2 linked regions of the Schizosaccharomyces pombe genome follow. The protein of the gene in region 1 interacts with the protein of each later gene in a pairwise test. Each region holds a gene or a part of one and is shown in the gene's direction. Other genes may lie near its edges. The genes, in order: rpl39 and nap2.

Region 1 (3,215 bases):
AGGAACCTTTTTCCAAATTTTGACCAATATCATTTCAGTTACGATTTTATCTTTGGCTACAGGATGGAAGTTGGGTTTGGTGACCCTTTCGACCTCCCCTGTTATCATTACTGCTGGTTATTACCGTGTACGTGCTCTTGATCAAGTCCAAGAGAAGTTGTCTGCTGCCTACAAAGAGTCAGCTGCGTTCGCATGCGAGTCAACTTCAGCCATTCGTACAGTCGCTAGTCTTAATCGCGAAGAAAACGTTTTTGCTGAGTATTGTGATTCTCTCATCAAACCTGGCCGTGAGTCGGCAATCGCATCATTGAAATCTGGTTTATTCTTTTCTGCTGCTCAAGGTGTTACCTTTTTGATTAACGCATTGACATTTTGGTATGGTTCTACCTTAATGCGCAAGGGCGAATATAACATCGTTCAGTTTTATACTTGTTTTATTGCAATTGTCTTTGGTATACAACAAGCTGGTCAATTCTTTGGTTACTCAGCAGATGTAACAAAAGCAAAGGCTGCTGCCGGTGAAATTAAGTATTTGTCCGAATCAAAACCTAAAATTGATACATGGTCGACGGAAGGAAAGAAAGTTGAATCCCTTCAAAGTGCAGCAATTGAATTCAGGCAAGTTGAATTTAGTTACCCTACCAGAAGGCATATTAAAGTTCTTCGTGGTTTGAACCTCACTGTGAAGCCCGGGCAGTTTGTCGCATTCGTAGGATCTTCTGGCTGTGGTAAATCTACGACCATTGGGCTTATCGAGCGTTTCTACGATTGCGACAATGGAGCTGTATTGGTGGACGGTGTTAATGTTCGTGACTATAACATTAACGACTACCGCAAACAAATTGCCCTTGTCTCTCAAGAGCCAACGTTGTACCAAGGTACTGTTCGTGAGAACATTGTTTTGGGCGCATCTAAAGATGTCTCTGAAGAAGAGATGATTGAAGCTTGCAAGAAGGCCAATATTCATGAGTTTATTCTTGGATTGCCCAACGGTTATAACACACTTTGCGGTCAAAAGGGCTCTTCCTTATCTGGTGGTCAAAAACAGCGTATTGCCATTGCTAGAGCATTAATTAGAAATCCAAAGATTCTCCTTTTAGATGAAGCAACCAGTGCTTTAGACAGTCATAGCGAAAAGGTCGTTCAAGAAGCTTTAAATGCCGCCTCTCAAGGTAGAACCACGGTAGCAATTGCTCATCGTTTGTCTTCTATCCAAGATGCAGACTGTATTTTCGTATTTGATGGTGGTGTTATCGCTGAAGCTGGTACTCATGCCGAGCTTGTTAAACAGCGCGGTCGTTACTATGAACTTGTGGTTGAACAGGGATTGAACAAAGCATAATTTATTTGAAAAGGGTGATACCCGACAAGAGCCCTTTTTTTGTCTTTCTGATCAGTAAAAGGGTTTCCATTGTTTAGATTAACTCCCTCATATATCGTTAAGTTATTTCCGAATTTCCTTTATTTAGGTCATGTATACTATTATGCGATGAAGCATGACCAATGCTATTAAATTACTTAATATTTCCTTATTTTGAAAATGGATGTTTGTCGTTTGTCTTCTAGATATGTCTTCATCCATAGTCAGGTTTGTGTTTTATTCCAAAAACTTGTCAATTTCAAGGATTGAATAACAAGGTTACTTTTTAGGCATTATGGCCTTACTAGCAATGTAAGGAATTTTAATGTCTGTGCTATTTAATGTTGTTTGGTCAACTGATTAATTTAATTTGCTAACGTGCAAATAATTGTCTATTTTATCGTAATCGGTACGATGGCATTTTACTCTTACCATTAACTTTGATTCATAATGAATAATGGATTCGTTTTTTGTTTTTTTATTGACCCTCATAAGTACGGATTTCGTAGTTTTTCAAATTGTAAATAGTAGTAACAAAATAGAAGTTTTTTGACTTGGGAACTTCTTTGTACCTCAATGCTTAAAATATGAGCTTCTAGCCCAAATGTAAAATTAATAGCAAGTTTACTTTGATATGATTGAACCAAATATTACTTACTAACACTACTTTCTTGAATGCGTCTGCCTTTTTCTAACAACAAGCTTTTGGACTAACTGAAATATATTTAATTATTTCTTCAGTATCTCAATTCTAGTTTAAATAACGCTCTGACGGCATATTTCACAAAACAGTTTTAACGGTTACTAGCAATATGTACCATAGTATGTTGAAATTATTCCTTAAATCCTACAAAAACCTTCAAAAGACAGTCACAGTTGTGAAAAAAGAGCAGTCACATTCGCTTTAGTTGCGTGGATGCAACACTCTGTCTTCCACAAAATGCCTTCTCACAAGAGTTTCCGTACCAAGCAAAAGCTTGCCAAGGCTGCGCGTCAAAACCGCCCCATTCCTCAATGGATTCGTCTTCGCACCGGAAACACTGTTCATTATAACATGAAGAGAAGACACTGGAGACGTACCAAGTTGAACATCTAAAATGGTATGTCGACAAAATCAACCGACGCCTTTGCTTGTGGAGTAACTGTTTTCTAACTGAGATAGCGTTCGTGTACATGAAGTTATGGATTGCTTTATGCGTATCCTACGTTTTACGTGTGCAAAAATAGAAAATGGATCCATTCTGTTTGAGCGAAAAATTTCTATATAAACGCAATGTATCTGTTGTCTTCAATAACTATGTAAACAGTTCCATGCAAGTCGTAAGGATTGTCGTGTAATATAGTAGAGTTGAATGATCTGTAAATAAAACGATTTTAAGTGTACTTTAATTTTCTAGTAGTTGGTGGCGGCGCGGCCTGACCTGGTAGGAAAAACTTTTGACTTGTAATTGTCGGGATAGATGAGTTTTTGTTTTTATTTAAAGAGCTTGAAAAATTTATACTCATTTCAATTTCGACAAAGTTTGTAAGTTATTTTATTAAAATACTTTGTAACAAATAAAATGACTGCAGGATGATTTGTCCTCCTGCATTGTTTTACGCTACAGGGTTTTTTTAGTACATAGGGTATCAAGAAGCTTTCAACACATCTTAAGTCTACTTGTGTAAGGAAAATATTTACAAATTTAAAACTTGACCAGAAGTAAAAAAAATAAAACAAAAATTTAATGGTAGTCATGCAGAACTTCAATTGAGTATAGATTAGTCAAAAACGAGCTAGCTGTGCTAAAGTTCAGTGCCAGTGACGTTGAGCTTAAAAAATAGAAAATAGAATAGAAAAAGATGAAATGGCAAC
Region 2 (3,926 bases), on another chromosome or scaffold:
CATTTTCTGATAAAGCAGCTTGTTCAAAAAGATTCGCTGGCTGGCCAGTGGAAGTAGGAGCAAGGGCTTCGCTTTGCTGTTGCTGAGCAGCAAGGGCTGCAGCACTCTCTTCTCTCTGTCGATTGAGAATGTCTTCGGGAATACCAGTTAATAAGTATTCCACTGCCCGATCAGGGTTGTTAAAAGCGGCACGCATGGCTCTTTCAACTTCGCTGCGTTCGTATCCCATTTCTACCATATTTTCGACAGCAACATTTCGTTGAGCACCAACTGCCAATGTGTTGGCGTCTATTGGTGCTTCACTAGTGGCAGTAGTATCTGGGTTTGAAGGGGCAGCAGCAGCAACAGTTTGTGTAGTAGAGGTAGATTCCGCCACGGTAGAAGAAGGAGCTTCAACTTTCTTTTCAGGTACGGAAGCCGGAGGATTGGGGGCAGGACTGGCAGCTGATTTCGGAGTAGAGGTGGAAGTTTTGGGTCGTGAAACCATGCATACAATGAAATCCTGTTCTTTTATATTGTATTCGCCAACAGTTTTGTCATCAGCAAGGATTCGACCTATAAATTAGTATTTTACATATTAAAATTATGTTATATACCTGAGTAAATTAACTTTTGACGTTCGACTTCATAATTCTGTTGCGTTTGAATTTTTTCTTTTAATTCTGAAATCTGTTTACGTTAGAAAAATAATATGCCACAATTATCATACTTTGGTATCTGCAGAAACATCAGAAATAACAAATTTCTGCTGCTGTAGATTTTTGAATGTCAAATTCATTTTCAAAGCAAATTTGGCGTAGTGGGTAAATGTATAGTAATGAAAACCTCTTTGAAAAAACGTTGCATCAGAGAATAATTGTCAAGGTAGCAAACAAACACCATACACAAGTAACATTATTTGGTATCATCGCATTGTTTATCATAAAATGTGAATGAAAAATCTAAAAAGCAAAACAGTTTGGTTTATTTGAACCTAAAATTTAATGTAAGAAAATATTTCATTTGTTTGAAAGTGTTGTGAGTGAAACATTTACCTCGTTTCCAAGTCCATTAGTACTCAATACAGTGTATTAGTTTATTCTTTATTCTTTAATTTACTATATATATATATATTTTTCTGTTGGATTATTCATTCTCATTTTCTATTTATTTACAGAACGATCGCTAATAAATTTATATATATTAATTATGATTTGTTTATTTAAGTTAGCAATGACCGTTACAATAGCAGATTTTTATTTACAAGTTTGACTTTTGAATTATGTTCCGATAGTTTTTCGCTCCTCCGTGGGCAACTAACTAGTAAACAAATGCTACAATAAGGTTGTTTAACTCATGAATATAGAAGTATATGATACGTAGAGTTGTTTATTAATCAGTATCCATATATATATATTTTTTATAGAATTTTCAACTAATAATTGGGATACGATACATATGTTAAACTAATATGAATAGCGTAGACACTTTGCTTAAACGAGATATATACATTTGTTTATTTCATTGATTTTTTTTTTAGCTATTTGGACAGCTACATCAGAATTTGAAAGCAGCGCCTTTGGTTTATACAATCCATTACCTTTGTCAGAGAAAGTATAAGGAAAGCGGAGAGAAAAAAGTCAACGTATATGTAAACTTCCGGATGCTTTCTAATTTTACATATTCTTCCAAATAAAACCCCAAATACTATCCCAAACTATGATAGCCGCTAAACACATAAATATATTTCATTAAAGACTCTCATACGAAAAATGCTGTAAACATATCATTAAAATATGCTAAGCTGCAATAACGAGTCAGGCCCAACATCTCTTTGGTAGACTTCACGAAGATCCACAGTCCAACAACGAAGCTTTACCAATTTAATTTAATCTCCGTTTGCATTATTAAAATATGTCTAAAGGTCCAGGAGATTTTAAGAAGTCTTGGAATGGGTTTGCTGCTCAAACGCCACAAAATACTCCATCTTCAGATGTACATCTTAGTAAGGCCGCATTAGAAAAAGCTAGACAAACCTTGCAATCACAACTGGAGGACAAATCAGCACATGATGAAGTTAGCGGGTTATTGCGCAACAATCCGGCCATGTTATCAATGATTGAGGGACGCCTTAGCTCGTTGGTTGGAAAGTCGTCGGGATATATAGAGAGCCTTGCGCCAGCAGTCCAAAATCGTATTACAGCATTGAAAGGCCTTCAAAAAGATTGTGATGCAATTCAATATGAATTTCGTCAAAAAATGTTAGATCTGGAAACAAAATACGAGAAAAAATATCAACCTATTTTCTCTAGAAGAGCCGAAATTATCAAGGGTGTTTCTGAACCAGTGGACGACGAATTAGATCACGAGGAAGAAATATTTCAAAATAATCTTCCAGATCCTAAGGGAATTCCCGAATTTTGGCTGACTTGTCTTCATAATGTTTTCTTGGTTGGCGAAATGATAACACCAGAAGATGAAAATGTCTTGCGATCACTCAGCGACATTCGTTTTACCAACCTTTCGGGAGATGTTCATGGTTACAAACTAGAATTCGAATTTGACTCAAATGATTACTTTACAAACAAGATTTTAACGAAAACTTATTACTATAAAGATGATTTAAGTCCTTCGGGTGAGTTTTTGTATGATCATGCTGAGGGTGATAAGATTAATTGGATCAAGCCTGAAAAAAATTTAACGGTTAGAGTGGAGACAAAAAAACAACGTAACCGTAAAACAAATCAAACTAGATTGGTCCGTACTACGGTCCCTAATGACAGTTTTTTCAACTTTTTCTCACCTCCTCAGTTGGACGATGATGAATCTGATGATGGTTTGGATGACAAAACAGAGCTTTTAGAACTCGACTATCAATTGGGAGAAGTCTTTAAAGATCAAATCATACCCTTGGCAATTGACTGTTTCTTAGAAGAAGGTGACTTGAGCGATTTTAACCAAATGGATGAAGAAGACTCTGAAGACGCATATACTGATGAGGAGGATCTGTCTTCAGATGACGAAGAAATTTTGAGTAGCGAAATTAGTGATTGATATTTATATTGTGTTCGTTAGATTATGAGTAAGTTCAATGTGAGCAAAAATGAGAAATTGACGCTGAATGATAATTTCGCTTATAGTTTGGTAAGTTTATTGTGGCTTAAAAAATTAAAATGTTGATTTACGTCGTAGTATCCTATAAAATATTTAATAAGCGGATCTAAGTTAGGATTTGTCTTTAAAATTTCAATTTGTTTTCTTGTCTTTTTAAATTTTGAATTTTTTTTTCCAATGCAGGTATAAAAAATATACTAAGTAATTTTTTATCATTCTGTGAGTATATTCTACTTACATGGTTCCTTTTTTAATAGCTAGTATTAGGTTAGTACGCGCATTATTTGAAGCTGTGGTGTTATTTATTAGCATTTGCTTTTCTAAAATGATAATGCGGACAGCCAGCAAAAAGTAAGCGGCTATTACTATAACTATCTGCAATAGCTTTTTCTATTTATTTTATACGTCAAAGCTAGATCTGTTCGTACATTAATTAACAATCTTTAAGTGCATTGTTAGCTCACACCGAGTTTATATGATAAGGTATAAGAACTAGTACTAGGTTGGAAGAACTACAACTAATAACGGTTCTGACAATAAATCACTACCTCTTGTAACTCTAAGTTTAGTTACTTCGATTGTCAAAACGTAATTATTATATGAACACAAGTAGAGATGTCTATTCATTCTCTTCACCAATCTTTCAAAAGAATTATATTGAATACCTCTAATTTGTTGCTGAGACCTAAAACAATTGCTTTTCAAACAGCAGGAACCCATCTTTTGCTACATATGTTTACCTTACTAATGAGAAGTTATGAGCTGCAAATAATAACACTGCGATGCTACTAATGTCATTAAGTTAGCTTTAGCGTTGTTTACCTTCGTTAACT

Evidence for each region.
Region 2: the proteins of rpl39 (region 1) and nap2 interact in a two-hybrid assay, tested with the Schizosaccharomyces pombe proteins (2 studies listed by BioGRID, with this or other methods).

The regions. Positions count from the first base shown.
Region 1 is NC_003421.2:1,638,721-1,641,935, forward strand, and holds rpl39 (60S ribosomal protein L39), read left to right. Parts: upstream 1-2,295; 5' UTR 2,296-2,300; coding exon 2,301-2,456; 3' UTR 2,457-2,460; exon of another isoform or gene 2,461-2,522; 3' UTR 2,523-2,675; downstream 2,676-3,215. Other genes in the region: leptomycin transmembrane transporter Pmd1, read left to right, coding at 1-1,342.
Region 2 is NC_003423.3:2,983,816-2,987,741, reverse strand, and holds nap2 (nucleosome assembly protein Nap2), read left to right. Parts: upstream 1-1,842; 5' UTR 1,843-1,893; coding exon 1,894-3,033; 3' UTR 3,034-3,235; downstream 3,236-3,926. Other genes in the region: UV excision repair protein rhp23, read right to left, coding at 1-555, 597-669, 710-778.